4 linked regions of the Struthio camelus genome follow. The protein of the gene in region 1 binds, or shares a complex with, the protein of each later gene. Links are inferred from orthologs where the notes say so. Each region holds a gene or a part of one and is shown on either strand. Other genes may lie near its edges. The genes, in order: CACNB2, CACNA1S, CACNG1 and STAC3.

Region 1 (7,468 bases):
TTAAATGAGAGGAAAAGAAAACAGAAGGAGCGGGACCATGAGAACCATGAGAAGTATTAATATGCTATGTTACAATATATGAAGAAAAAATGAGCATAGCATCTGAGTTATTTAAAATAATTAAATTGAGTATTCTGATTAAAATTTGTAGATTTGAGAAGTTCCTGAAATAAAGAGCTAAAAAGGGAAATGGAGTTGATTCAGAAAAACAGCTACTGATCTTAAATCACTCCGAAGCATTTCAATAGCTTGCACGCTTCATGAGTTCTGAAAATCAAATGCTGAGTTTATTACAAAAGAGTCACACCTACAACGACTACTTTGCATTGACTTACACATCAACACTGTGAATGACTCCACAGTGTAACAAGTAACATGCGCATACATCTGGATAAGACTGGACATCTCAAAGTTTACCACAACCCTGCCTGGACTAGGATCAAAATGAGTACTTATGCTTTTTACAGTAGCATGGAGGTAAGAGCCTCAGTATATTAGGTAAGACAGAAACACGCATAGATACCTTGCCTCTGTGTCAAGGAACTCCTCGGGGAGAGGACAGTATAATTGTCAGGATCAACGCCTACAGGGATTTTATTCCCTTTGCACGTCTTGTTAGCAAAACAGGTTACAAAAATAAGGACTAGAGTTTACACAGAGGCTATCTAAGAACTGTTCACATAATTAACACTGTGGAAGTAATTACTCTTAAAGATTGTTAAATATATTCACTCCTCTGCCAAGCCTGGACAAGTTTGGCCAAAATCTATGGAAGGGTACGAGCCAATATATTGACCATGGTGCACAGCCAGATTAAAAGAAACTCTCTGCTTTGCAAAAGTAAAATTCTTGGAGAAGAGAAATCTTCAAGCTTGTTACAAGTATACGAAGGCTCTTCAGTTATATTTCACTAAATCATAATTCCCAGAAGTAGCACTTCAGAGAGAGTACTTTTAGGAGTGATATCACTCCGTAAACTCGCATGTTTTTGTTTTTCCTTTTTTTTTCTGATGCGCTACTTGGCATGAAATGTTTCTAGGATCAATACTCAAGCACCTTAGTGAAAAAGATAATGGTGGGCCTAACTGAAGTACCTGTAGGCTATCTACTTGATGATTCACATATTCACATTAAGCTTCTCTTTCTCACTGTGAGTACACTCTAAAGCAGCAAGATTTTACAATATTGATTTTTTAGAAATCACGTTAATGGAGCAAAAACTCAGATCAGAATAATTGTCTTTCAATGCACTACATACAAAGGAATTAACTGAATATTATTATTCAGATAAAGGGATCTTTTGTTTCCATAATCTTACTTCTTCCACATCCAAGGTTTATGTATGACTGGAACATATACATACGCAGAAGATGAGATTCTTGTTTTGCCTAACTTGACTTTGGTTTAGAAAACTGAAAATTATTCCCTGAACCGAAAAGCTGCATTATCACTGTCTTGAGAAGTGGTCCTTTTTTGGTGTAGGCATTCAGAAACCAATTAAATAGAACAGAATATAAGTACCTTACCTGAAACATAAAAAGTGCAAGAATTAGCAACTATCCTTCCCCTCTAGAGAGAGAGTCTTTATCTAGTTAAAAGGAGGGGTGAGATTCAACTTTATGATCGCTATTTGACATTTCGCCACAGCAGAGAGGCACCATATGATTTCACAGTTGCCCATTCTGTTCTTAGGGCTGAAAAGAGACAAGAAAGGAGGTATTTGCAGGTCAGAAATTAGTTCCACCGCCGCTGTCTCTGGAGAAGTTGGCAAAGCAAATGGCCCTACTGAAAGGTCTGCTCCACACTTAGAAACTGCAGACAAATTCACATCCAAAGAGATACTTTTTCTTTTTAACTTAACCTAGTCTCCATTTCAGTGCCTGAATTTTGTTCCGCTCTTCGCAATCCTCAGTAAGTAAAGATCAATTAGCGAGTCTTTTGACAGACTGACACCGTTTTCCTGTGGCAATCAAGCACTTCTGTGATGAAACCAGACCACTTTCTCCAAAGAAAATAGAGGATTAGAGATAGCTTTGGCAGCAGCAATAAAACTGCCACCCCGAAAGGAAAAAAAATCCAAATCTCTGTCCTAACAAGAACAAGTATGTTTGTAATTTAAAACGCACACAATCATATTTTACCACCCTTTTACCGGGTTTAAAAATAGCTCCCTAAGTCTGTGTAGCCAACTATTGCAAACTCGGAGATATTATGCAACATTCATATATTAAACAGGATCCATCTTTCAAAATATAAAGTCTTCACCAAGCCTGCTACCACCTACTCCCTGTCACCCTCCGTACGTCCAGCCCGCATGCAGCGCACACGGCCCGAGCTGGTACAATTTCAGAGGACTCTCACAGCACCCTTTGCCCGGTGCTGCCGCAGCTGGGCTCCGCAGGGCACCGGGCACCGGCACCCTCCGCAAAGCGCGGTGCCGCGACCGGCGCGCACGGCCTGCCCCTCTCCGCCAGGCTCCTGCCCGTGCAACAGGTGAGCAGGGCGCAGCAGAGCGCGGGGAGCATCACGGCCGGACACAGCAGGTTACCGGGGGAGGGAAAAATAACCGCAGCCCGCAACAAATGCACGGAGGAGCGAGCGCCTCAACAGCAACGCTTTCTTATCTAGGTACGCCCTGGGTAACTGAAAGGCTACTCGCTCTGCAAAGCCCCTGTGGCACAGAGCACCCCACTGTGTGCGGTAATTAAACGGTCGGGCTCTCCAGAAGAGCTGTCAAACTTTTCTGACGGCGGGGAGCTGAAGTGGAAGGACAGACAGCTCTGGCAGCCCGGTCGCTCCCTTCCCCATTTGCTCCGGCGGCAGCTCAGGCACCCCCGGGCCGCTGCACCCCCGCCAAGCCCGCCCGGCCCGGCCGAGCGCCGCCGCCGGCCCCCGCCCCCGCCCCTGCCCCGGCCCCGCTGCCCGCCGCCCGCCGCCCGCCGCCGCCCGGGGCCCGGCCCGGCCGCGGGGTCCGCCGCCGCCGCGGTACCTGCGCCGCCGCCGCTGCGGGCAGGGGGTTGTCCAGCAGCTCCATCTGCACCTCCTGCGCCGCGGCGGGAGGCGATTTGGACATGTCGCTCTGGACCATCGGAGACGAGCGCGGGGCAGCTCTGGCGCCGGGCCCTGGGCGGGCAGCGCCGGGCGGGCCGGGCCGGGCCGGGGCGGCGGCGCCCCTCAGCGCCCGGCCATGCGGGCGGCGGGGACGGAGCGCGGGCGGCGGCGGCGGCGGCGGCGGCGGGGACGGAGCGCGGGCGGCGGCGGCGGCGGCGGCGGCGGCGGCGGCGGCGGCGGCGGCGGCGCGGCTCGGCTCGGCTCGGCCCTGCCTGCTGCCGGCGGGGAGCGCGCAGCGCCGGGGGACGGGGCGCCGCCGCCGCCGCCGGGCGCAGGGGGAGGGCAGGGGGCGGCGCGTGGGGAAGAGGGAAAGTGACAGCGAGCATCGCCCCCCCCCCCGCCCCGAGGCACCGGGCGGCGGGCGCGGGGCGGCGCCTCCCTCCCTCCCTCGCCGGCCGGGCGGGGGCTGCGCGGCCGCTGCGCCGCGGGCAGGGCGAGGGCTGGGCGCAGGCCGCGGGCGCGGAGCTGCGCCGGGGCCTGGCGGCGGCGGCCCCGCGGAGGGCTCGGTGGAGGGGGCGGTGCGCGAAGGGCAGGGGAGGGTCGGGGGGTCTGAGCGGTGCCGGGGCCCCGGCCGGGAAGGGGGGCTGGGGCGGAGGGAGCGAGCCCGCTCCCCGCCTGCCGTCAGAGAAGTTGCTATTTACAGCTAGCATTGCCCTCGAGCGAGGCAGCGAGGCAGCGGCAGGGGCGGAGGGGCGCGCGGCTGCCGCTGCCCGCCGGCTCGGCCCGGGCGCGGGGCCCCGCCGGAGCGGCGCCGCCCCGGCCGGCTGCGGCGGGGAGAGCCGAGGGGACGTGCCGCTGCCCCGGCCGCCCCGCACAGGTGGGCGCTCCCGGTCCCTAGCCAGGACGTCGCGTGTCTCAGCTCGTGTCGAAGCCGAAGGCAGGCGCGGGATACGTTTGCTGTTAGGGAACAAATCGGCGCTTTTCAGACGGGAAGCTCTGTCCAATTGATACGGTTTCTTCCGGTACTTCTTGGAGAGTCCCGTAGGCACATGAGGCAGGGCTGAGTAATTCCTAGCTAGCAGGTGAGATAAAGCCTACTATCTATATTTATAAAACCTGCAGCAGCACAATTTTAATCCGGTTATCATGTACCCCACAGGAGACTTTTGAAAGGTCTGTTCAAATCCTGACCCAGGAAAAACAGCCCCCACCCCTGAGAAGATCTACCGTTCATTTCTCAGAAGCAACGCTCACCTGGCATGATACAGCCTACAGCCTCTGACCGCATAAGCACTCGATGGACCAAGATTTGTAGTCAGACTAGATTTTATAGAGATAGACTTGTTACCTCTTGTTGTCCTCTTCAGATTGGACCTAGCGATGCTGTAGACAACAAGGGAGAGAAACTTGTGTTTTCCAGATCACTTTGTGATTGTTTGTGAGATCTTTTATCACTTCATGTTACGAAGAACGACAAATCGCTGCATAAACTCTGGGCAGCCAGATATGTCTGCATACTTCCAGTCACAACAAAAACTAACAGGAGCACAATAGTTGCATATAGAAAAAGGAGACAACGTAGAGACAACAAACCAAAAACAGAAAAGCCAGTTCAGCTTCAAGAAATGCTTTCAACTTTTCTCCTGATTGCGTGCTTGATTTACCTCCAGTTTTTCATAATGGCTGCTGAATGTTCTCACTTAATTAGCTTAGCCCTATGGAATTACCACATGGTCCATATGAATGGTGAACATGTCCTGCAGAAACTTTCTGCTTTTTGGAAGGAATTGGCTTTCCCTGCAAGCAGATGTGCTCTGAGGTTTGAAGAAGCTTGAGAACTTTCACTTGTCCAAAAAACTCAACTTTTTTTTATTTTGAAAAGTTGTCATGTTATTCTTCAAAAATCATTTCTAGAATTTTACCCAAGTTGTTGTCTACGGCACAAGAGAACCTTAATTTAAGCAAAAAGAATGTTATTTTACATGCTTCCATTTCCTTAAAATAGTTCAGTAGAGATGCTAAAGAACCTTCAAACTGGATACTATATCTTGGAATGCTTCCAAATGTTCTCTTAATGATTGTAATTAAAAACGCATTTTCTCCTTACATGGTTGAGGGGAAGAATACATCCTGTGCCCTCTAATGCAGGCCTTGAAGTAGTTATTTATATCTTTGTCACTTCCAGATTAGATCGTTTTAATGGAGTTACTGTTTGTGACCATCATAATAATTAAGGAAGTTTAATGCGTAAGTGAGGTTTCACAACAGACCTTAACACAACATTCCTGTTTCTTTTAAGATTGCTAAGGGGGTAGGGGGTGAGGAGCATTCAAAGAGGTTAGCTTTGACTTCCAACACCTTAATATCTGTGGAACTATTTGTTCTTTTATTCTAAGACATTCTCCAGGGAAGATTCCCTGATCTTGGCATATTGTCTTCCACCATGATTCAGTATAGTCTTGATTTGGCAGGTTTTAAGGCATCCTTCAAAGGCTGTCTATGCTATCTCACACATAGGAGAGAATTAGAAAAGACTGGTAGCTATTTATTCATGTAACAGTGGTCCTTCATACTGCCTTCTGATTTTTTCGTTGTGTAGGGAATATATAACTAACATTAGATTTTTTTCTTTTTAAGTATTCTATTCTTCCTTAAGAGTAGTAGAGATCATTTTGGAGCATTACAGGCTCTGAAACCATGAATTGTGCATGTGTGTTGAAAGGATATTTCTACTCTCTCATAAATTAAGAGCTTGAATATATCAGATGAAATTCATTTTTCCTTCGCTAAGTCCTATATCCATTCTGATTACTTTTTCTTCTTTTCTTTCCTCTATAAAAAAAAGAAAGGTAGTGATTTTGCTTGTTTATATACCCACATACAGGGGCTTTAGAAAGCAGGGAACCAGGAAAGAAGCTTTTAAGGCACAAATGAACAAGAGGAAGCTCACTGCCTATAGAAATCCCTAGTTACATATAGAGAACTGTGGTTTATAGTTTTCCCCTAAAAAACAAAAATCCTCAAACACTCAAATCACCTACAGATTTCTAAGTTTATTTTATTTTCATTCTTGATCAAAAATATGCTACCTGGCTTTTCTTTAGCAACAATTATTATTCATTGCTTTGATATAATGAGTGGCTAGGACATTTATCTAGGCAAATAATTTTAAGTATCTTACTCTGTTCTACTCCTTGGGTTTAGCAGTTGGGCAGAGTTCTAAAACCTTGAACTGTGCAGTGCGAAATCCTTCAGCTGAACACGTATACATGCAGGCATCCCCCCGCATGCTGTTTTTGGCCACATCTACTCCAGGAGAAAGGTCAGTGTGTAAAAACAATATGCACAGATTCCAAATTACTGGTTCTTTCTCAAGGGGAAAACAACCTGCTCTGCCTAACCACTTCTCAGCAGAAAACCACTGTGCTGCATTTTTTACACTTTTATCTGCAACGGAGAAGTGCTGTGCATGCTTATTTGGACTTTTCCAAACATGTAAATGTTAGAGGACTGACATAAAGAAAGATAAGCTCTTTTTTCCAAACAAAAAATAAAAACAAACAAAAACTAAAAAACCCTTAGGCTGACAGAGAAGATAGGCTGTTTGGGTGCCAAAATTGCTTTTTTGTTGTTTGAGAGATTAGATATTCTTCTAGAGCGAGGAGCACTGTATTGCATTGCATGCTTAATTGCCTTACCCCAAATACAGGAATGTCTATGTCCAGCACGGTGTTCTAGCGCACACACGCAGAGTCAGTGCAGGATTGATTTAGTCTATGACCATGACCTGAGCATGCAAAAATAGGCCTAGGATATTGGACTGATATTTGTGAAAGTAAAGCTAAAAATTAAACACTTGCATTAATATAAGCATGTGAGCTTACAATGATTGCTGCAAAACTGCTAAAATACTCGTGATTGAGCATATGCTTAAAGCCCTGATAGAAGAAATTCATTAGGAAGATCAGTTAAAAAGAAATGCTGGCCACCTAATACTCTGTGCCACCTTCTGCTTGAAATGCTTTGTAGCTGATATGTTCATTATCAACGAAAAACAAGAATACACTCAGTTACCTGGGTTTCAGGTCTTGGAAAAGAGTACACTTTCTTCTCCAGTGATTAATTGCAGTCTGGTTGATAAAGTGAAAGCTAAAGAGATTCCCCTTATTTTTATATTTTATCATTCACAAGACAAGTCCAAACAGAAACATGCAGCTAATATCTAGACAAGCTCACTTAGGAATCTATTACCACTCTGTATCAGACCTGAACACAGCACAGGCTGGCTGGATTTAATGAACTGATCTGTCCTTTCAACTTGTGTTTATTGTAGCATGCCTGCTTTATTCTGCAGGATGGAGGTGAGATGCAGCAAACCCTTGATTGATATCATTATGATATATTCCACTGGGGGGGG
Region 2 (7,744 bases), on another chromosome or scaffold:
TTTCTGGACCCTTCTGGCCAACAAATTGATGATACTTTAAAAACTAAAGTCAGCTGAAGAAGCTGCCCTCCTCTGTGCCCCAGGTAACAGAGCACAGCCCAAGGGCTAGAGATTTCCCTGCCTGCTCTGACAGGGTGAGATGAGCAGTCCACCTTGCCAGCACTCATTTCAGTTTCCATGTGGTTGTGAGGATGCAAGAGTGTAGGGATCAGTTCAGCATCATGGAGCAAGTTGGTGAAAGCAATGGAAAGAGGAGCAGGAACCGTGGCCCACATCCTGCCCCAACAGCCACTAAACTGCAGAAGTCCTTTTCTTGTTCCCCTGCTCTGGTGAAAACAGCCACATCCTCCTCCTTGAAGGGAGAATTATCTTGCAATCAGAGGTGAAGTTGAGACTCAGTGCTCTTCTATTATCAGGTTGCTGTAGGCAAGTCCCACATTGCCTGCCAGTGGCCATGAGCCTGGGACTGTTATTAGGTAGATACACAGTGGGACAATTCAGCCAGCCAAGAGTCAGGTACTGTCACTGAGGCAAGCGGGTCTCTGATAGAGTCCAGAGACTCAAAACCCTCCTCATCCCCTTGCCCTGCAAATCTCACTTCTGCTCCCTAGCAGCCTCCTGCCATGCAGCATTCGAAGGAACCAACTTCAGCTTCACAGTGGGAATTAGGCACTCAGTGCCTTGCTCATGGTCCCCAGACTCACCCATCTGCCTTAAAAGTCCTCCTGACTACAAAATGACCTGGAATACCAGCACTCTCCTGCTGCCTGAAAAGACCCTGTCCTAGCTCTTTGCCTCAGCTTTGTGCCTCTGACAGTGCAGTTATTATGCAGTAGAGATGAGGCCAAAGAGCAGAGATGTGTAACCTGATCCCATTCACCAGGTATCCCCACAGAAAATGGTCACACTAGTATCCATTTGGCAATTGGTCTGGCCATGAAGCTCATAACAACCCACAGGAGCTGGAACAACCCCGTCATGCCTTGTAAACCTTGATCCCTGAGTGAGGGGAGGCAGGTGCATTGGCATATAAATATAGCCAGGCACAAGAGTGGTGCTGCTGAAACCCGATGCCCAGAATCGTCCATCTCCCACAGGTCAGGACTACCCGCACCTGTGGCCTTCCTGGTGAAACATCTACCTCTTCCCTCCATGCCCCTTGCCCACGTCCCCAGTGTGGGAAAGGCCTCCCTCAGTGGGGCTCTGCAGTTGCTCTGGCATATGTTGGCCCATCAGGAAAAATGTTTTTGAGTATGCTGGAAGATATATATATATATTATTTCCAGCTCTACCCCTGCCATTAGGGTCTACAGACAAGTTCCTTCCATGCCCTGCACCCAGACACAGACACAGCTCTGTGCTGTGCAAAACACCCCATTCTTCAGCTGAAGAGAAGTAGAAATGGAGAATTCCCCAATTTTGGCTCTGCTGCCTCTCCGCAAAGGTCAGAGAGCCTCTTTGTGCCACATAGGAACAAGAGGGCTCAGACTCCATGCCCTGAAAAGCATTGCCAGGTGGTGTGAGCATGCTGTCAATGTCTGCAAATGGGCAGCCTGGGCTTTGAGCAGGACAGCATCAGTGGTGGTGCTGGCGCATGGTTTTGGTGCCCCTGTAGCACCACATATACCACACTGCAGGCAGTGTTTCCCACTAGCAAGGCTTGGCTCTGCAGCCCCCAGGCACAGGATGAAGGCTTGCTCTGGTGGGGTGGGGCTGCCCAAGCTGCCCTAGAGGGGAGAGGACCCTAGACTGGGAGAATCCCGTCAAGGCCAGGAACACCTAGATGCATTCAGCAACTGAAATAAGAAAAGTTGGGATGGAAAGACTGGATTTCCTGGAAATGCCCCAAATCCTATCAGTGTTAGTTGAGCCCAAATGTTTTGTTGAAACCAAGTGAAATGTTTCCTGTCCCGTTAAGGCAAAAATGTCCTATTCCACAAAATACAAGCTGTATTTTAAACAACCAAGGCCATGTCTAATGGACTAAAATTATTCCTGGATGGGTGGCAGAAACATGACATTTTGCCACTTCCAAGCTAAAACACCCCAGTCAAAGCATGGCCAACTAAAGAGCAACCATCACAAACCCATCCGTAAATTAAACCAAGGGCACACAGAGATACCATCTCTCTAAACAGCTTCACCCATGAAAGCCTTCACGTGTGACAAAAGTGGTGGAGAGGGAGGAGATAAGGAGATTGAGACAGTAACGGTGTCGGCAGGGATTTAGAGGATGCTGGCTAGCTGCCCACGGCCATGGCAGGGAGTAGCTGCAGGAGTGGGCAAGCGGTGACACACACACACAGCCATCTCAAGCAGCTCACCGTGGTCTCTGTATCCATCTCCCAAGCCCCTCTTTCCTTAGGCTGGCCTGTCCTCCCAAGCTGCATCCTCAGCACCTGCTCCTCCATCCTGGCCCTCCTCTTCTGCCCGGCCCATCCCAGCTCTGGGACAGGGCCCGTGCCCCCTCCTCTGACACCATCACTCTCCCCTTCTGGCAGACTGTCCCCTGTTTATCCTCAGCGCAGCTCCTACCAGCCACAGCCAGCACAAAACATGGGTATGCATACATTCCTTGCCACTCAGGCTGTCCCCTCCTGTCCCCAAAACACCCTGCTGAGGATCCCTATGGTCCACTCCTCAGCCCTATCTTTCCCACTAGCCTATTCGTGCCCCCAGGTTGCACAGCCGTCACTTCTGCCAGTGCACCCTGCTGGGGCTGCCCAAGCCCTTCCTTGCTTTTCCTTGCTCCCTCGCAGGCCTGATGAGACAGCCACCACAAACAGCACCACCATAGCATAAGCAGAGACAACTCACAGACTCAAAGTGTGCTGAGGACTTGCCTGCCTAACAGCCCCAAGGGGTCCTGCTCCAGCAAGCACTCCTCTTCAGCACCCATGGTCACAGACATGCACATGCAGGCGCTACCAAGCCCACCAAGCCTAAAGGATACTTCCACTCCACGATGCTGATGCATGCCTTCCGAAGTGGGTTTTGCAGGGTTAAGCAGAACAGAGCTCTGGCTGGCCGGGGGGCTGCTGGTGGCACTGGCTTCTTGGACTTCTCCTTCTGTTGCCTCTTCTTTGCATCATCTTGGGGAGATGCAGGCTCCATGGTGTTTCTCCCCTAGCTGCCTCTTCCTGCCTCACAGCCAAGTCCCCCTTCCCCAGATCCTGGCCAGCCAGAGACCCTCTGGGTCTTCCTTCCTGCTAAGCCTGTCCCTTCTGTGCACCGGGGGAGGTCATGGGGGAGTGGGGGCTGGAGGCTGCACACGCATGCACAAATGCACAAAGCATGAGTTTAAAATTAGACACTAGCCTGGCTCCCGGGTGCTGTCACAGTTCCCGAGGCAGCAAAAGGACCCCAGCAGCTGTTGCTTCTTTACCCGGCTTATCCTAAGGCAGATGAGTGCTTTGCATGCCACCGAGCCAGGCGGGGGGTGGGGACGGGCTGCCCAGAGTCAGGTGCACACCCTCCCAAGGAAAATTGCCCTCACCCCGGGTCACCTCTTTCCCCAACTCCCTGGGCCTTCCACGCCCAAGTAGAGAGACTGGGCTGGCTGGGGGAACGCATGTGGCCCCATCTGCTGAATTGCACTTCTTGGGTGAGAGGGAGAACCTGACTCTGGCCAGTGGGACACTTCCTCAAGGAAGGTCATCCCACAAACTGATCAGCCCTGTCTCTCTGCAGGATTTCTCCTTCATGTGGAGACCCTCAGATGCAACCTGGTCTCTTGAGCCCTTGGCCCTGTGACCCCAGGGCTGTGGTACCTCTGGGGATGGGTACGTCTCACAGACAGGAACTTTGACCCCAAACTCAGAGCTCCTGGGAGTGATGCTTAGCCCAAAGTATGCCTTGGCTGGCACTCATCACCTCAGACAGCCCCTGGTCAGCCTCATCTCTTCAATTCTGCTTGTAGGGCAAGGGGCATGCCTGGGACATGCAGGAATACAATAAGCCTAGGGTGGGCTGTGTCCTGCTCCAGGGACGTCTTGGAAATCCAGCTGGGCTTGAGAAAGCCCAACTGGATATACGGACAATGCTGGGGACTCCCAAGCTGGAGGTGTCAATGCACATAGGGACAGAAGGGGGTTTTCACTACCTTTTCACAACAAGGGAAACAGAGGCACCAGGAAGGGCAGTGCTTGGGGTTTTCCTGCAATCCAGGGACTGAGTTAGCAGAATAGTTACACAAATTTTCTTACTTACAGGTATGTCCCTCAGCAAATGTTGTCCCTGTCCTATGGAGATGCTTCAGCCTAATGTAACCAGACAGCTGTGCCCAAGTCAACCCGTGTCCCAGGGGGAGCTCTGCCCACTGTACCACACTGCCTTGCTCAAAGCTTCCTTGCCTCTGTTTTGCAGGGTCATTTCACCAGCTGCAGAGCAGGCTGTGCCGAGGGCCACGGTGCCAAGCGAAGACAATCATTCCCTCCTTTGTGGCCCATGGCAGGAAGACAGCATAAGAGAGCAACTCCTGCAGCTGCTCCAGCCCATTTTGACACTCCTGGAGGGGAGGAGGCCTCAACTGTAGAGGTGCAAAATCAGTAACCCGCCCTCTCCTACACTACTCTGCTGCATTTTATGCAAAAAAAATAGCCAGAGTCAATTTATTCCTGCCCAGGGCTCCAGCCTCATTTCTGTGTCACAGTGGCAGGTCCAAACATGCCACTGTTTCTCCTCTGGTCTTCGTTCCTCCCTCCTAAGCACTGCTGAAAGCCATGAGCTGTATTTCTGCTTCTGCCTGTGCCCCTGCCAGGAGCGCCCATTCCTGGACTGTGTCCTCCCTATCAACGACAAGGATTTGGGGTCCACCTAGTGGCGAGCCAGAGGGCAGGCTGCAAGCATGTGCTTGGCATGCTAACGCTGACAGTGGGCGCTGCTGCCTGGCATGGCGTCTGCCCCAACTTGCCCTAGGGCTGTTCTTAGAGCTAGGAAACTGTTGGTTCCTTCTCAAGAGGCCTCTGCAGGGGATGAGAAGAAACATCTCCCTTTCGATTCATGCTGCAACAGCTGTCCCAGAGGATGAGAGCATGGTGGGAGATCTGCTGCAAGCAAGGACCTGGAAAGGACACTCAAGGTCTCTCTGATCCCCTCCAGAAGCCTTCATTCACGATCTACTCACTTTTGAACTCTGTATCTCCATCCTTGGAGATAATCTGAACTAGACTGGGTAAAGCCCTGAGCAACTTGACCTAACCAGACCTACTTTGAGCAGGAGGTTGGGCTCAAACACCTCTGGAATGTGCCCTTCTAATGTACCTGATTCATTTATTCTCTTCCACACACCCCTCTGCAGCTGTTGGGAACTGCTTGCTGCCCTTCTGTGCTCTGTATTTTGCATGGGGCTGTGCTGACAAGCACTGACTTCACATGGCTTTAACAAAAACTGCCAGAGAGTGGTCCCTGCAGGCCAGGGCTCATCCTCCTCCACATCATCCAGGCATGGCACAGCTGGTGCCAAGGCCAACCATTTTTGTGTCTCCCATGTGACCTTAATTAAACTAACTTCAGAGTTAGACGAAAGCTGAACCCTCATGCTTTGAGACATAACAAAAGGACTGGGAGAGGGTGGGGAGCACTGCATAGTTACCTGCAGGGACTACACTTACCTTCCTCTACAAATCAGCCAGAGGTAGCAGAGGGGAGATGCTAGCTTGAGGACAGGGCTTTCCTGCTCCAATCCCTCTCTCACTTGCTGTGTAGCAAATCACTCTTTCTGTGATCTCCACTCAATGGATATATTCCTATGTATCTCGTAGGGGAAGGCTGCTTCCTCATGCAACTGAGGCCTCCATCAACAGGCTAGGGGCCAAGGCCAGCATGTTTTCTTCACCTCTTCGCTCTTCTTCCTCATATCTTTCACAAGCTTCATGCTCATCTTCTACTCCTTCACCACACCTGCACAAAGACATGGCGTTAGCAAGGGTCAGTGCCTGTAGTCCCAAACACAGTAAGCCCATGACAGAGCCCTACTCAGCTTGGAAGGAGAAAGGGTTAACATGGGAGCAGGGACTGCAGTAGAGCCACTCCACCACTGCAGCCAATCCCTTTGCAATAGCTGTGTTCCACAGGGCAGAGACATACGGCCTCCCAGAGGCAGAGCGCAACCAGATTGGCCCAGGCCTGCCAAATCAGAAAGGCTTTCCCCTACTATCTTGAAGAGCAAGGGATAGAAATGGTCCCTGCACTAGCCATTCTCAAGCAATATGACCTTGAAAGCAAACATCTCCTGACATGCACAGACATGTGTGTGTGCCCCCTGCTCCCAAAGGCTTCCCCTTTTCCCAGCCTAATAAAATGTACCTCCCTGCTTTGACACCTGGCTCCTGTAGGACCTAGACCTAGCTGTCACAGACCCTATGGGCTGTCTGAGCACAAGGCCAGACTATGGCAGGGAGTGTGTCCTTCTCCAGGACAACCACGGCTTTTCCTTCCTGCACGTGACACCCAAAGTCAAGGCCACAGCAGCTCATGGGGACCTTTAGCAGTGGCCAGAGTCCCTGCAGCAGCTCTTCCAATGTTATCCATGTGCTGGGGGCCCTTGAGGACCAGGGAGTGGGGCTGGCATGCCAGGCTAGAACCCAGCAAGGGATTAACTCCTTCTAGAGGGACATTCCCAACAGTTAGAGCAAATCAGCTGTTTCGCTGCAAGAAGGGGCCTGAGCCATGCCACTAGCCTCCCCCCGGGTCTGGCCGCCTCTCGGGGGCACCTCACATCCCCCTGCTGGTGCCCAGCCAGGGCTGGCAGGCAGGGGACAAGGGGATGGAGCAGGCCCCGGCCCCAGACCTCCAGCACATGCCCTCCTGCAGCCAGGGCTGAGTCAACTCTGCCCTAACTGAGCCGTGGGGCACGTACTGGGGAGAGTGGGGCCCAGAGCTCCCCCCGGCTCCGGCTCTCCGGTCCCCAGAAGAGCTGCGCTGCCAGCCAGGAGGCGGGGGGGGGGTGCGGCAGGCCCAGGCCCCGCCCCTGCCCGCGCCCCCGCCCTGCTCCCTCCCCCTCCCCCTCTGGAGCTGGGGGCGGGCCCAGCCTGAGCTGGCGGCCCCTTCCCGCTGGGGTTCCTGCCACCGCAGGGCCTGCAGAGCACTTGAGCGCCACGGGCCCTGTGCTTGTCCTGGGCGCAGCTCAGCCCCACGAGCCCTGGGGCAGCTCCGCAGCCCGGCCTGGGCTGCACAGTGGCCTTGGGATGGGGCCTGTCCCTGCAGACCGAGCCTGTGGGGCCCTGTCCCCACAAGACTGTGCTAGCTGGGCTGTGCCCCCCACTCTGACCATGTCTATGAGGTCCTGTCCACCCCCAGTCTGGCCCTGTGTCCCCCAGATGGAGCCTAATGGGCCCTGTCCCCCCAAGATTGTGCTTGGGCTGAGTCCCTCCCCCGAGCAAGCCTGCAGGGCTCTGCCACCCCTCCCATTCCAGACCTTGCTGCTGAACTTCCCCCTCCCCACACCAGAAGGTGCCTGTTGGCCTGTCCCCCCACCCAGATTGTGCCTGTGGGGCTCTGTTCTTCCCCCGGACCGTGCCTGTTGGACCCCATCATCTCCGCTGTCGATGCCAGCTTGGCCATGCTGCCTCTCTAGACCTTGCTGGGAAGGCCCTGCTGCCCCAAAAAACTGTTCCTGCTGGGCAGTCACCACCCCTGGACCATGCCGGAAGGGCTTGTTGCCCCCAAGACTGTGCCTGTGGGGCCCTTTCTCCCCTGAGACCATGCCTTGAGGACCCTACCCCCTACACAGGTTTTGCCGGCG
Region 3 (8,167 bases), on another chromosome or scaffold:
GGGGCTCTGAAACACATCATTGAGTTTTGGAGATGGTAGCTCCGAATAGTTTAACTTCATAGTAGTCTTGCAGGGTGAGTCTCTTGTACGGATGGGAATGTGACACCCTTTTGGTTAACTCATTTGCTCTAGTTATTTTCCTGTCAGACTCCAGCTGCCTGAATTCAGATGCATATATTTAACAGGAATGATTTAACCTGCTTGTGGCAGACACAGGCTATAGAGCATCACTCGTGCTACCCAACTTGCAGTTGCACAAGAGCATGCTTTTTAGGATGACACCTATGTTGGAGTTAAAGGTTGGCAGTGACAGAGGTCTCTGTCACACCTTTTAGTAAATGGCTCCAATGGTCCATCGATCACAGTTTAAAATGTCCCTACATTAATCTGAATCTGCCAAGTTTTAACTGTCACCTCCCTGATATTTTTATTCCTCACAGCAGCATGCCAAACCCTTTTCCAATTTGTCAACATCCTCTGAAGAGTGTTGTTAAATTTTAAACATCTTTGCTTAAATCACAGGCCTGTTTTGTAGATTATGAGCCAAGTCATCTTCCACATTTTGCACTGCGCTAAGCTCAAAAACTAATAAATAATATTAATAGTGCCATCCATTTCCTCCTAAGAGTGACTAGTAAATGGTTATTAATACAGTGATAAATTCTTATGTTTCTTTTCCACCGACAGCAGTAATGTCTGATTATGTCTCATGATTTTCAGGAAAACTGATTTCCACCTATGCGCTCTTTTACGCCACATTTGGTCATTCGCAGGCTTCACAAGCGCAGTGATTCTCTGCTGACATCTTTCCGAAACTGGGAAATCAACCTAAGGAGAGACCTGCAAAGGCAGCGTGGCAGCAGCCTGCCGTCCTCGGTGGCTGGGCTCTTGGTCACCTCACCATGCCATGTCCTCTGTGTAAGTAAAATGAGGGCTTTAATTCTTATTTTATAAGAGGTGAGGATGTAATTCATAAGGTGAAGGCTGCTGGAAACCTCAGAAGCTTATTTTGACCCAGGACTTCAGCCAAATTCTAGACTATCTTTCAACACCACAAAAGCACACCAGCCGGACAAGCTGCCCATGGTGTGGCCGAGCTGCCCGTGGAGGGCTCGGTTCGGTAGCTCCACAATTACCCGTTCCTTTACTGCGCCCATTAGAAAGGCAGCGCGGGGACATGATTCAACGTCTGTGCAAGCACATGCTGATGTCTGTCAAAGATAGTAGCCCCTTTCGGGCTGCCCTGCCTGTGAATCTGCTTTCCAGAGACAGCTGGATATTTATGAGTTTTATATTTATCCAGCAGTTGGTGCAATTTTGCATTTATCAACCAATTTCTATTATTTTCCTTTTGTGTGAGTTTTTGTCCACGTGCAAAGCAAAGCCTACAGCGAGGAATATGTAAGCGCCTACACGAGAGACGTTAAGTTTCCAGATCACGCGCTCCCAAATTTGGCTAGAGGCAGATCTGAATGCTGCGGGCTAGCTCCTCGCTTCAGAATAAATAATTCTGCCAAACAGATAAAGAATTGCAGTAACATAGAGAATATACACTAAACACAGGCAGCAAGATTTTCATAAGAACTCTTCAAATATGTGTTAACATACATATTTCATTTCAAACAGCGAGGCTAACGTGAAGGCAATCCTGTTATTTCTGTTCTGGAAAGAAGCCAGTTCCCTATCAGCCTTCCCAAAAAGCAGCGTAGTTCAGTCACGGCTAGGGTATATTAGTACACGCTGCGTGAATGTTGCTGACTTTGCAATCAGCAAACATATAACGAGCTCCTTTTACCACGGGAATGTAAGGGTCTTCCTGGAAACCAGCTAGGATCGCTCCTCTGCCACCCTTCCTATTGATTTCGGTGGAATACCTTGCAATGAAGAAATGCATCCGATTAGGCTGCTTTCAGCTGCAGAGCCCGGGCTTTCCTTCGCTGCAAGGTAAGGAGGCTCAGGAAGGCAGTGACAAATCATTTCTAACTCCGTTTGCAGCCTTTTTTTGGAAGCTGGCAAACCGCAGCCCTGCTCGCAGCCCCAAGCAATGACTGTTATTGAAATAGCCCGTGGATAACTTAATAACTGTCATGAACAAGCTGTTCCTTCATAGCCAGCTGAAGCAGGAAACCCTCCTGCTTCAGCCACACAGGGTGGCCCAGTCCTGCAAATCCTCCCTCCGCCGACGCTCGTCGGAGGTGGCGTGGGTTTGCCCGCGTGCCGTGGGACCCTGGGCAGATGTCGGCACGATATCCTCCATCCAGTCCGTGATTTCCACCGTGTCCGATCCTTTTCCCTGATTACCCGCCGCTCCCTTTGCCGCGCAGGGGACCGACGGCTTAAAATATGGTTAAAAATACATGGGCAAGGCAACGCGGCGGCGCACATGCACAGCACGAGAAATGAGAGCGAGCGGCGTTTGCAGGGTGATACGAAAGCGAAGCAGCGTGCAGCGCCCTGTCAGATTAAGAGCCGGGGTGGGTGGGGGGGGGAAGAGACACCGTATTTTGTTCCTGCCGTGTGCCGTAACCTCCTAAACACCGCCTGGAGTCACCGCTGACGCTTTCTCTCGTGCGGTTTGTGCGCGGCTGGGGAACGAGCGCCGTCACGTACCTCCCGGCAGGCTTATGGGCCCGCAGCCCTTCTCCCCGGCGCCTCGCTCTTGCACGTAAATCCGCTTTGTGCAGAGCCGCCATAGCCCGAAATGAGCCGCTTCGCAGGTGGCGTTGTACTCCTCCACCTTGGGGCTCAGCACGGCCCAGTGGTCAGTCACTACGGCGGCGAAGAGGAGCGAGACGCCGACCAGGATGACGGAGAAAGTCAGCCGGATCTTCAGGGGTTTGCTCTCGTCCATGCTGCTCGGCGCGGCGGGCGGGCGCGAGCCAGCCGGCCTCTGGCCGGGCCCGCTGGCGTGGAGCCGCCGGGCCGCTGATCTCCCGACGCCCCCCCGGCGCGTCCGAGCGTCTTCAAACGTCAGCGTTGCCGCGTTTGGAGGGGAGGAGGGGTTGGGGGGGGGGGGACGAGCAGGTGGCGCGGCGGCCGCCGGGGCAGCTGCTGGGAGGCGTCAGCGGCGGGGGGCGCGCGGCTGCGGCCGGCGGGCTCGGCTTTGGCTGGCGGTCGCCCGCGAGCCGGCCTTAGAGCCGCCGCGAGGGGACTGCGGTCTTGCAGCCTGCCCAGAAATAGGCATGAAGGGAAGGGTTGACTTTTTCGGCTAGGTTAGAGGGGGGGGGGAAAAAAAAAACCACCCATGTGGGTTTGTGATAGCGCTGGGCCTGACTGTAAATAGCGGGAGGGTAGACTCAAAGCCCACAACGCGCCTCGGGCTCGCGTCAGCGTTTGTAAGGAGAAGTTTCGAGCCGGACGGCGCTGCAGCGCCCCAGCCCCGTTGCGGGCGGTGAAAATAAACGGGCTGTGGCTGAAGCAATTGGGGGGGGGGGTGGTTTCTTTTTAACGAGAACGTTTATTTTTTTGAATTAACCCAAATGTCTTGTTCAGGCCGAAGGAAAACGGTTTGGTTCACTTCTGAAGCCGCTGATGGTTTGAGAGCTGTATTTTGTCATACCCAAAGTTCGATGTATAAAGTACGGCAAGTACGTATTTCATCAGTTTGCGCGAGACGCTTTGTGCTTTGAGACCGCTGGAACAAAACCGTTTGGCGTTTCTCCCCCCCTGCCCCGCCGACCCTTTTTCTGGTTTTACAGTGGGAACTACTGAGTGAAGTTGATTTGCTTTCACAGCTCACTCCGGTTCTTCCGAAAGAAAAAGGCGTAATCACTAAATTGCTTTTCTCACACCTGTTTTTTTGCGCCTTTTGAATCATTTTTCTCATCCTAAACCTTCCGGAGCGCTTTCTTCGTTTCCCACCAGCCGGGGTTTGCCTCGGTGCTCATCGTAACTGGTATCGCTGGCTCCTTCAAACTGCCCTCTGTGGCCGATGTCGGCTCCTCTCTGTCCAGCCCTGGCGTTCTGCGTCGTCTCCGGCGCGAGGCGCACCGCACGCCAGCGCCCGGCCCTCGCGGCGCTGCCCGCAGACCCCCCCTTCTCCGAGCAGCGACTCCCCTGCCCCGAAGCCTCGATGTCCCCGGCCTCTCTCCTTGCCTTTGATGTTTTAAGCTGATCAGGAAAGTAATTTCCTGATAACGCCAACGCCGAGGCCGCTGTGGGGGTGACATTACCCTTGCGATGTCGAACCGGTGACGGCGACAGCACCTGAACGTCAAGACGATGGCTTGAAAAATGTCAGCGGAAATCTGCAAATATCATGTTATCGTGTCAAGATAATGGCAGAGCTACTCCAGCGCTGTTTCATGAACACCCCGGTTCAGTGTCAAGATAAAAGGTACGGCGGTGTCGTCTCGAATTAAGGAGGACAGTTTGAAGCAATGAACTAAAGGCAGAAGGGAGCTGCGGGCAATGGAAAGAAAATAGTGAGTTAGAAAAATAATGATCCAAAATAACTGTAGCTGAAATAGGATTTAAAAGAATTATCTGCCTGTCAGTGATGGCCGCAGGAAGAAGCGAAGGGAAAACCCACCAGGCAGGAGGGGAAGGAGACAAGGAGCGGGGCCGGGGACCTGGGGGCAGCGGCACGTCCAAAGGAAGCTGGCTCACCACGCGGCGGTTGGTAAAACGTCAGCAGAGTGCTTTAGACTCGCTGATCGAAAGCGCTAAGCTGGGGGAAAAAGGGTTGGAAGCTGGTTTGCAGCCCACTAGCGCGGATTGCTCCACTGCCGCGGACGGCGACCAGCGAGCTGTAGAGAAGTGAAACCACGCTGTCCAGAAGCTCTGCCCTGGCTCGATGCTGCTCTGAGAGCTCATATCCTCCTTCAGGGAGTGCCATGTGCAGGGTTTGGGCTTCAAACCATCAGAGAGCCCTTGCGATGTTCATAGGGTTTCAGGAGCTAGCAGAAACCAGCACAAGCCAGGGTATGAGCCCCTTTCGCACCATGGTTGGAGTGAGTCAAATAGTCTGAATCGAGTCTGTGACCTCTTCCCTGAAGAGTTGTTCCCCAACGGAGTTTGCTTTTTGGAAATCTCTCCAGAGCTGGTCTTCGAAAAAGGTTAGAAACCGCCCCACCCTTGAATATCAAGTATAAAAGGGGATCAAATTGAAGCAGCTGAAGAGGTCTTGAGAACAAATGTACAATTTGGCAGCCACACAATTCAGAAAGGATTCTCATATTTAGGACTCCCAAATATTTAAAAAGTCTGTGCAGAAACCGGACCCATGAGCATGGAAATAGCCAGCGTAGGTTGGCTGCGGGCCCTCATTCAGCCCATGGCAGAGCACAGCGTGACTCAATCAGGGTGAAGGCACAACAGTCCCAAACAACACCTGCTTACAGCTCCGCTGAGAAAGGCGCTGAATAGAGCGAGTCGTTTATATCAGTTTGCAAGGAAATTTTATGCTAAGAGTAACAGAGACTGATTTCTCTATTTTTGCAAAGAGGCAGATCCAAGACTGGAGCACTAAAATGTGCCCTCAGAAGGACCTGACCAAGAGGCTGTTCTGCAAAGCCCGTTCTGTCTTGTTGCTAAGGGGGGAAGATGCAAGTTAGGACTGTCCAACCAAGTAGAGACCTCTCCACTGCAATCATGTCACACATAGAGAAATATTATGGAGACTTACATTTCTGTTTTCTTACCCAGAGCCAAGAGTTCTCATGAAAGCAGAAAAGCCTAAAGGGAACAGACTTTAAAACAGAAAAAGAATGCATTAAAAATGTAATGTCTTCTCTTTTAAAGTAGACTCTTGCTAAATTTCACTAGACATCAGTCGATTTTGAGTTGCATCTTGACTTTACTTCCTTGACACTAGAAACTCCGCAGGTCCTCAGCAAGTTGAGCATGGGAAATGCATGTTTTCAAGTGCGGGCACAAAGCAAGCTTTTGGTTGCTGAGAAAGCAACTGCAACCAAGTTTTTGGTTGCTGAGAAAGCAGCTGCTAATGATCACACTTTAGACTAATTACAAGCTGTAAGGACTGAAAGGGTGGGAACTCATTAATTTTTTTGTTACTGCTGGTTTTTGTGTCTCCTCCAGTGTTGGCAAGAATCACGTCTTCTATTCTCATTCAAGTACTACAATCTGGATAAGTTCCCCCCAGTTTTGTTTTGTTCTTATTTTTCTAATAATAACCAGGAAAACACTAAAGCAAAAAGATAAAGAGAAAAGTCATCCTTCCCTCTCTCTCCTCTGCAGAGAGGACCCGAGACTGTGAACAAGCTAAAGCTTGGATGAACTTCAGTGCAAGATGTAGAGGCTTCCCTGGAGGCTGAAAAGTCACCTAGGCTAAGGTGAGTCATTGTCCCTGGCCTAAAAACATAAGCTGGAGCCAGTGGTCCTGAGAGAGAAAATGCTTTGTGGGGATAGTGTTCCATGTGTTAGAAGAGCAGACGTACCCACGCTACTCAGGTGCTGCTTTCTGCTCTTTGTGCCAGAGCCTCAGGGTGTGTTTGGGGACAGCTGGCAGGGATTCGGTGAAGCCGCTTGGCTTCAGAATGTGCTGTGTGGGCTCTGAAAGACTTGCCTTGTCTCCAAAAGGTTTAGCCCCTTTCCCAAATCTACATGGAACTTTTATCCCACCTTGGAGGTTTAACTGGCCTCCCTAGGGGGCCTGGTGGCCTCTACTGTCCGCTCCGTGGCTGGGTGAGTGTCTAACAAATGCAGAAGCACAACTGACTTCCAGAGGAGCAGAAGACTCCAAAACCTGCCTGCGGATCTAGAAGACTGCCGTATATAGTCCTCTCTTGAACGGTTCCAGCAGGCTCCCTGCTTCAGCTGGCAAGGAGCTACATTTAAAAATCAATATCCCATGAAATATAAACAGTGTATTAATGAGGACCTGTTGGGAAGCAGGGAGGGTTATAATTAGTTGCACTTTAGCAGCAGTGAGTGTGAGAGACATGGTTGTGTTTGGTTGTGTTTCTCTCCTGCAGAAAATGCTAAATGTTTCAAGATCAGCTATGGCATTCTTTTGTCCCTAGCAGAGTCGTTGGCTTGGGTCTGTTCCCCAAAATTTGTGCTTTCCTATATTTCTTCCAGAACAGACCCAGTATTTACCACAACCAGGTTAATCGAATTCTGCGGTTCCTTTCTTGCAGAACTATGTGAAAGACCATTATCAGGTAAGTACAAACCACCCCTGATTAGAGGGATTTGTGGGGGCCAATCTCTTTGGCTTTATATATTTGCACAGGCCTCTGAAGTAATTATTTTTATGCATTAAAATGAAGAATAATCCATTTTGGCAGGGGCTGTCATTTCTCTAGGCTGACATACTGCAGCAAGTAAGTCGCTAGACTTGTGTCTTCAAATGTCTGTTGTGTCCCTTGCTGACACGAAGGGAAATTCATACTGAGCATGTGTGGGGATGTGAAAGAGAATAGCTAATGCAGCGCCGTGCAGGGAAAGCCCCCCACAGTCTGCTGAATCCAGGGCACTTGTCTTATTTTCTTTATGTGATATTTCTATGTTTTTAAACTACTTTAGTGCAGATTTAGAGAGGGCCTGCGCCGCAAAATTTGAATCTAAACCTCTCCAAATTTCAGGGCTATTTAGAGCGGCAAAGATTGGGCCTGGTCTGCTCTCAGCTTACATGTATTTTCAGCAAATCAGCCATACAAGCAGCCTACTTAAAATGGGATCTCCTTAGCAATAGTCAAGCTTCCTAGCCTACCTCACACTGCTGTGGTGGGCCCCCGCGTGTGTGTATTTTTCTTTTAATAGACTCCTTCGGATAACCAGGGGCAGATACACCCGTTCAACCTAACGAGGGCTTTTCTTGGCACCAGCTCTGCAGCCCTTCTGAACACAGTGCTGGCAATACTTCTTTAGGACTGACTACTTCTATCTGCCTGAACGTTTTAGCTGCAGGTTCGTTCTCCTAAAATAATGAAGAGCCTTTCTTGGCCCGCTTATTTGGTAAGTGGTCTCTTTAATTCTGGTGAAGCAAACTGACCGCTGCTGTAAGATGAGCTGTTTCACAGACAGGTGCAGAGCACTCTTCGTTCCCTTTTAGGTTCAGCACCTCCTCCTATGTTGACTATTTTTCTCATTCCCAAGGAAATGCCACATCCTCCTCAGCGGAGGCTTTTCCACTTCCCAAACAGAAAAGCCATCAGAACTCCATCATGGCTCAAAAAAGCTCCCTTTCTGATACATCTCATTT
Region 4 (7,315 bases), on another chromosome or scaffold:
GAAGGTGGCTCGGCCAGAGCCAGGGCTCGTTGTCTCTGCACGGCTAATCGGGGCAGAAAAGCCACAAACCCCAAACCGCAGCCAGCACTGCTGATTTCTGCCCTTGTTCGTTCACAGCACCCTCTGGGCCCGAGGGCCTTGCTGAGGTGAAGACTTACCCCCCTCCCCAGCGCACGCCCCCGTCCTGGCTGGGAACTCACGGGAAATCCAGGTCGTCTTTCTCCAGGGCTTTGAAGCGATAAAGCGCCACGAAGTAGTGAGACTGCAGATAGCCGCTGCGCATCCCCTGCTGTGGCTTCTTGTTCTGGGGGGCAGGAGAGAGGGGCTCAGAGGCTGGGGGGCCGGGGGTAGCCCGGGCACCGTTGGGTACGGGGTGAGGAAGAGGGCTACCTTGTCATCTGCTGTGCTCTTCTCCGCCTTCTTGTCCCCTTCGGAGGTGCCTGAAAACAGGAGAAAAAGGGTCACCTCTCTTGTGCTGCTCTTCCCCACCGCAGCACCAGCCTGCCCTTGGGGACCTCCCGTGCCTGCAGAGAGCCCTGGGGCGAGACCTGGACTTAGGGCCCCTCTTCGGGGTGAAGCCCACCCCAGTGGGCTCCCCGTCCCGCACCCTCGGGGGGAGCACAGCCCTGCAGCCCCAGCCCTGCCTGCTCGCAGCACTCACCGCCCTCGCTTTTGCCCCCAGCTGCCTTCATGGCCTCGGGTTCCTCATCCATCATAGCTGCCAGCGGCTGCAAGGCAGAGAGCAGTCAGGGGCTGAGGGGTGGGCAGGCGCCCAGGCCGGCTCAGAGTAACAGGCCCACCCTGCACTCACGTTTTTCTTGTCGTCTTGCCCTTTCTTGCGCTCTTTGTTGGCCATGATGACGCCCGTCCGGAGGGTCTCAAACACTGGGTCGCTCCTGTTGGCTGCTGCTGGGGCACAGATGGAGTGAGAGGGGCTCAGTGAGGGGGTGTGGGGAGATTCCCCCCACCGCCCGCCCCAGGCATGAAGTCAGTACTTACAGAGCAGCTCCTTGACGCAGGCATACTGCTGGTCGCTATACAGGGGCGAGCTGTATGCTCGGCGAAAGCCTGGTGGCTGCAAGGAGGAGGAGGAGGGGGTCAGAGCACAGCCTGCCACTGGCGAGCTAAGGGGGCAATGGGTGGGCGCGAAGGACCTGGAGGGCAGATGCCCAGCTGGTGGTGCTGCCCCCGGGTCCTTCCCACAGGGCCGGGACCGCACCGGCATGAGCACTCACGATTTTGCCAAAGCAGCGTTGCATCTCCACGTAGGACTGGCAGTGGTGGTGAATATTGGTTTTGCAGTTCTTGCACCTCAGGCCAAATTTGTTGTTGACTGGTGGGTGGAGGGGGGGGAGAGAGATGATGTGACCCCAGGGCTGCAGGCGTGGCAGGGCTGGAGCCCTGGCCCAGCCCTGGCCCCCAGCCTGTGGCCCCAAGCCCAGTGCCCCCGCGACTCACGGACAATCATGCGGGCACAAACGTCACAGAACTTGGGCTTTTTGAAGTAATGATCCTTGAACTTGTGGGGTTTGTCATTGACAAGTTTCTGGGGCTCGGGAGGAGGCTCGGGCTCCTCCTCCTCTTCCTCCTCCTCGTCCTCATAGATGTAGTAGATGGGCCTCCCGGAGGGGCTGACCAGCTCCCCATTCGGCTGTGGCTCCGGTGCCGTCTCCTCCTTGGGCTTTCGCCGGAAAAGTTGCTTCAGCTTCTGCAGCTGCTGGAGCAGGAGAGGCTGCAGGGCGCACTGCAGGCGCAGGGGGCGAGGAAAACAGGAAGGAGCCGGTGCCCAGCTCCCAGCCCCTTTGCTCTGACCTACAACCTCCCTCACCAGGTGGGGGGAGAACCCAGATGTCCTGGGTGCAGTGTGGTGGGCACAGGGACCCTCTCTCTGCCTAGTGGGGTCCCCCCACAAGGGGCAGGTTGCAAGTCCTGGGCACCACATGGATGTAGGCACCTTGGGGCAAAGCTAGGCTGGGCAATGCCCATATAGTGCTCCACTCAAGCAGATACCACCAGGGCACCCCTGGCCCCACAGAGGGTCCTGGGCCTGAGGCAGAGACCATGTGGGGAAGGTGGATTCCCCCTCTCACCCAAGCTGATCTGCAGGCATCCACTTACCCGGCTCTTGGGTTTCCCACCTGAGGCAGATGAAGCTGGTGGCTCTGGCACCTCCTTCTCTGTCATGCTACAAGGGGAAGACAAAGACATCGTCTCGACTGGGGCTGCCCCCACTGCAGAGCCTCAGCCAGGGCAGCAGCGGCCTGTGGCCTCGGCAGCCCCCGGGGATCAGACCTGGCTGGATGGAAAGCAGTTCCCGGGCCAGTGCCTCCCTCTGCCCTACTTGCACCCAGCTCCCTGCTGCCCTGCCCCAGCACCGGCCCAGACCACTGCCGGGGGGCTGCCGGGCTTGGCCCCTCAGGAGGCTGCCCAGCCCTGCTGCAGGGGCTGTGCACGTGGTGGGCTCTGCTCCCGGCCCAGCACCACAGCGCTGCTCCTCACCGTCCCTGCTGCTTCGCGGATGTGGCTGCCAGCAGCCCCTGAGCTACCTGCATGTGCCCGTCTCTGCCCAGACACCTCCGTCTCGAGATTAAACGGCAAATGGTGCCACACTTGGCTGGCCAGAACAAGAGTACCCATGGCGCTGTCTGGCACCAGGGCACAGCCCTGCCTTTTCTTCCATGGAAACCCAGTGCTACCAAGGGAGCAGATCTGCTCCTGCACCCCCAAAACCCACCTGACGCCACCTTTGTCTGTCGACCATCCTCAGAGCCCTTCCACCCAGGCGTCACTATTTTTGGTGCTACCGTTAACACAAGACCCCCGTCCTCCCTGGAAAGCGACAGGACAAGCATGCAGGAGACAGCGGGGGGGGGGGGCTGGGGACTCCTGGGGCCACAGGCTCGGCAGGGAGGTCTGGGGGGTCCGGGGTCCAGCAGTGGCGCAGGGGCCCAGCAGGGTCAGTGGCTGCTGGGTAAGGGGAGCCACACGCGGAGCCGCGCTTTGCACTTACACCACGTTCAGAGCTTGCGTCCCGTGATGAAACACCGCGCAAAGCTGGTGGCGGGCTTGCTGCCGGGGGGCTGGCGCCGAGGCCCCTTGGGCCACAGAGCCCCCAGCCCCAGGGCCGGGTGTGCAGGGAGGGGGCAGCTGCCCAGCGCTGCGGAGCACCCGAGTGACAGGCCAGAGGGGAACCGACAGCTGAGCGCTGGCGGAGGCTGACACCGAGAAATTGGAGCCCGTGCGCGAGCCGGGAGGGGAGCGGGGTGGAGAGGAGCTGCTGGCTATTTGCGTTAGTGGGTTGCTGGGCGTCACAGCGACCCTCCCACCCCTGGCATGGGGCAGCAGCAGCGCGGGGGCATGCTGAGCGCTCCAGCCTTGCTGTCCTGTTTGCCCTCGCATTGGAGGCCACTGCAGGCGGGAAGGAAGAGGTGCCGCCAAGGGTCCCGCGCTCAACGCTCACCAGCTCAACGCTCACCGCTGCCCCACAGGAAGCAGCCACTGAGGAGCGAGCTGGGGACCCGACCCCTACTGTGCTGCCCCGCAGCAGGGGCTGGATCCCAGGAGCTGGGTGGGCCCCCAGTGCCAGAGCCCCTGGAGCTATGTCCCTGCCTGGCTGTGGGTGGCAGAGGGGCAGGGTTTGCACCAAGGCCCCCCACACCCTCCAAGCAGCTCTTACCTCTCCCCCTGCACCCATGCTCCAAGGTTGGCTCTGGACACCGCAGGAAGCTCCAAGGGCTGCCGCATGCAACGCCATGGCGAGGCTGGTGCCAGCCCAACTCCTGTACCCCTGCGGTAGGAGGACACCTAGCAGCTCAAGGGCAGCTCCCCTTCACCCAGGAGAAATGTGTTCACCCTGGCAGGGAACGTAGCTGGGGGCATACCCTCCTTGCCATCGCAGGCAGCCCGGGGCCGGCAGCTGGGAAGAAGAGGCTATGAACATCTGAAGGGTGACCAGCCCCAGCTCAAAATGCTCCGTGCTCCTCTCCCAGCCTCCGCAGAGCAACGAGGACGCACCCTCTGCGTATGCTGGGGTGGAGCAGGCCCCGTGCCGGGACGCACTCCTGTGTATGCCCTGACTGCCATCTCACCCTGAGGAAGGGGACAGGACAGGCCCTGCTGCCAGCCTGCACCGAGCGCTGGCGCCAGCAGAGAACGGGAAAGCAGCATTAAAGTGACGGACAAGTTTTCTTTTTATATTTAAAAACACCCCCCCCTCAAATAAAACAAAAACAAAAAAAAAACCCCAAATAATAATCAGATTAAATAAAATGTGCAGTGAACATACCAATCAACACCTGTATGTGCGGTTCAACACAGTGCTTAACAAAACAATATACACAGGGTAGGGTGGGCGGGCATGGGCATCACTCCAAAAATTAAAAAAAAAAATCAATTTCTTGTCTCTTAATTATGTCCATATAAATATATCCAGGAAGGAGGGTGAGAGGAAGGGAGGGCAGAAAGGAAGAGAGAAGGCAGAGGGAAGCGCCCGCAGTCCAGTGTGCTCTGTGCCCATACATGAGCCCTACTGCGAGCTGGCACGCTCCAGCACCCGCAAGTCGTAGTTCTTTTTGGCCACACGCAGCTTGAAGCGGCTGAGGGAGTTGTTGAGGCGGAGGGAGGCGTTCTGGGCGGCCAGCGGGCTGGGGAACACGGCCACAATGGTGTATAAGGCAGCAAGGTCAGTGTGCCTGCCGTTCTCTGGAGTCCCGTTGTTGTCCCCACCGCCCCCATCTCCACGCCGCCCCTGAGTCTCTTTGAGCCACTGGATTTTGGCACCAGCCATGGCGAGCTGGGTAAAGAGCTTGTCAGCCTCTGTCCGCGTGATGCCCTCGGGCAGGTCCGTCACCTCCAGCACTCGGCCAAGAACTGCAGTGGAAAGATAGCATGTGTTGGCCACAGGACCTCGGGTGGTGACAGCATGGTGGGAGCTGATGTCCGGTTTCCTCACCAGCTCTGGGATGGGAGCAGTCATCTCTACTTGGCCCATGAAAGCAGAGCTTTGCTAAGCTGGTCCCACATCAGGGATATTTCTTCTAATTAGTCACTTCTTCCCCTTCAAACTGCCCCCATCTTCCTGGTCCCTACAGTGCCTGTCCCAATCATTTCTGATACTCCCACCCTGGTCCCCATGTGCCCCGCTTCAAGAGGAGACAGATATTTTCTGTTTGCCCAAGGCTCTAGCAGCACCAAGCCCTCCTTGATCCCTTTGATTGGGCTTGGCTTTCCAGTTAGGGCTTTCCCGGGTGCTCTCTCCTGCTTTCTTATCCTAATCCTGGGTACCAGGAGGGGACCTAACCCAGCACTGCTGCCCTCTGCCCCCAGGCAGGCTACCCCAGGGATGGCAGTTGCACGCTGAATGTGACCTTTCCCTGTGTGCTTTGTCACGAGGAGGATCCCTTCCTGCGCCCAGGCCAGTGTCACGTCAACCTCTGTGCCTCTGCTCTGTGGTACCCAAACACCCCTGCTGCCTCCTGGCTCCAGCTCTTTGGGGCTTCACTCCAGCTTTGGGGCTTAGCAGAGGCCTGGCTAAACGGATTCTTTGCTAATATTAACACGGCATGTAACAAACATGCCAGCTGCTTCCCTGTGGCAGGGAGGGGGCCAGCTCGCCGGGAAGCAACTCTTAAAGGGCCCCCTGCAAACAGCTGCCGTTGGTGGTGGTGACACAGAGGTGACATGGGAGACAACAACTCTGAAGCCTCCAGAGAGCCAAGGAAGACTGTCTCTCTTCCAGCCTGTCGGGCTCATGCCCAATTAGCGGGTCCTGCATTTGCTGCGGGGAATAGCCAGTCCTGTGCCTCTCCTCCCCTCCCTGACACGAGCAAGAGGAGACTCCTGCCCTGAGGAGAGGAACAGGGGGAGTCCTTCCTCCTTGGAGAGAAACAATCCACTGGGGATTTCAGCCCGGCAGCTGCCCATGGAAGATCCCAAAGCCCCACAAATATGGGGACTGTGCAACACCTACCCCCACTGGGAAACTGAGGCATGAAAGAGAAGGGTCACTTAGGAAGTCAACGGTAGGAATAAGATCTCATGGGCCTGGACAGTCGCTTTCTGCTGACAACTAGGAAAAGCTGCCAGGAGTTCTGCCTGCCAGCCCCACCTGCTCCACACCCTGCCAGACTTCAGGCCTCACAGAGGTAGGAATAGGGCCCAGGTGTCCTGGTGCTCATCACTGACTCCCCAGAAATATCTCCCCACTCTTCCTCAAAAGCTTTGGTCAGTGCAGGCAGCATCTAACCGGGTTCCTCAGCTGCCCTCCCACGGGGTACAGCTCACCAGGACTGGCTCTGCGCCCACCCCCCCAGCCAGGCCTTGCATGGGCTCCGGGGGTATTTCGGGGGAGCGGGGCAGAGGGCAGGAACGGTCCTCCACAACCACCCCCAGCAATGGATCCTGGGGGATGTCAGTGTGAGCAGAGAGGGGACCGGAGTCTCTGCCAGTGCCAGCTGCACCTGTGCAGCAGGGACTTGGCGGAGGGCAATGGGGGAGCTGCTGGAGGAGGATCACTTGCCTACATCACTTGTCCCAAGATCAGTGGATGCCGACTTGAGGGCTTGTCTCTTGCCCCGATTTCCATGTTTCATTCCAGTCTGTCCCTTAAAGAGTAAAAATGGTAACATGTCACCTGAGGGGACACTGTGGCGTCACAGTGCCGACAGAGCATCCTGGGAGGGGCAGACAAGACCAAACATGATGAGGCCACAGCTGTGAAGGGGAATGGAGACATTGGATGATCCTTGCACTCCCGGCACTTTTGGGATGATGCCATGGTGGCTTGGGGAGGTTGGATGAGACCAGGGCACAGGCATGGTTCCAGGACACTCAAAGGACCTGGGGCTGACATCGCTCCTGGGCAAAGCTGGGAGCAGGGTGAAATTTCAGCACAGTGTCAGGCTCCAGGGAAAACTGTTTATGATGGCAGCCCTGCTGTATGGCTGGTAACAGCATGGGGCAGGCAACCTGCTACCCAATCCAGGGGCACCCGAGCGCAAGGTGGGATGTCAGGCTCACTTCTGAACTACCCTGCTCAGCCCTGGGCTCTGCCCAGAGAGGGGTGCTCTGGGGGTCTTGGTCTGCTCCCAGGACAGGAAGAGAGGGGTGGGGGTCTGGCCCAACCTTACCTGGTGTGCACTGTAGTTAGGCTGGTTGTGGAGCAGGGGCGGGGGACAGATAGACAGATTATATTGCAGCGGCTGGCCCAGCAACGAGTAGCGCCCATCACCTGCAAAATAGAAGCAAACATTTGTAGGGGGCTAAGGGAGCCACAGGAAAGACCCAGCCCTGTGCTGTTCCCACGCCTTCCCCTTAC

Evidence for each region.
Region 2: CACNB2 (region 1) and CACNA1S share a complex: the UniProt entries of both Homo sapiens proteins name them as parts of the calcium channel complex. The link is inferred for Struthio camelus from reciprocal best matches to the Homo sapiens genes CACNB2 and CACNA1S.
Region 3: CACNB2 (region 1) and CACNG1 share a complex: the UniProt entries of both Homo sapiens proteins name them as parts of the calcium channel complex. The link is inferred for Struthio camelus from reciprocal best matches to the Homo sapiens genes CACNB2 and CACNG1.
Region 4: CACNB2 (region 1) and STAC3 share a complex: the UniProt entries of both Homo sapiens proteins name them as parts of the calcium channel complex. The link is inferred for Struthio camelus from reciprocal best matches to the Homo sapiens genes CACNB2 and STAC3.

Annotation. Positions count from the first base shown.
Region 1 is NC_090943.1:23,438,977-23,446,444, forward strand, and holds the start of CACNB2 (voltage-dependent L-type calcium channel subunit beta-2), read right to left. Parts: upstream 3,108-7,468; 5' UTR 3,089-3,107; coding exon 2,990-3,088; intron 1-2,989. UniProt on the Homo sapiens protein: Beta subunit of voltage-dependent calcium channels which contributes to the function of the calcium channel by increasing peak calcium current. Plays a role in shifting voltage dependencies of activation and inactivation of the channel.
Region 2 is NC_090965.1:2,384,726-2,392,469, reverse strand, and holds the start of CACNA1S (voltage-dependent L-type calcium channel subunit alpha-1S), read right to left. Parts: upstream 3,115-7,744; coding exon 2,954-3,114; intron 1-2,953. UniProt on the Homo sapiens protein: Pore-forming, alpha-1S subunit of the voltage-gated calcium channel that gives rise to L-type calcium currents in skeletal muscle.
Region 3 is NC_090960.1:4,231,959-4,240,125, reverse strand, and holds the start of CACNG1 (voltage-dependent calcium channel gamma-1 subunit), read right to left. Parts: upstream 3,121-8,167; 5' UTR 2,852-3,120; coding exon 2,611-2,851; intron 1-2,610. UniProt on the Homo sapiens protein: Regulatory subunit of the voltage-gated calcium channel that gives rise to L-type calcium currents in skeletal muscle. Regulates channel inactivation kinetics.
Region 4 is NC_090969.1:147,672-154,986, reverse strand, and holds the start of STAC3 (SH3 and cysteine-rich domain-containing protein 3), read right to left. Parts: upstream 3,091-7,315; 5' UTR 3,011-3,090; intron 2,186-3,010; 5' UTR 2,185-2,185; coding exon 2,119-2,184; intron 1,715-2,118; coding exon 1,459-1,714; intron 1,334-1,458; coding exon 1,236-1,333; intron 1,076-1,235; coding exon 1,000-1,075; intron 907-999; coding exon 812-906; intron 729-811; coding exon 662-728; intron 441-661; coding exon 391-440; intron 305-390; coding exon 201-304; intron 1-200. Other genes in the region: R3HDM2 (R3H domain-containing protein 2), read right to left, coding at 4,526-4,869, 6,518-6,602, 7,128-7,228. UniProt on the Homo sapiens protein: Required for normal excitation-contraction coupling in skeletal muscle and for normal muscle contraction in response to membrane depolarization. Required for normal Ca(2+) release from the sarcplasmic reticulum, which ultimately leads to muscle contraction.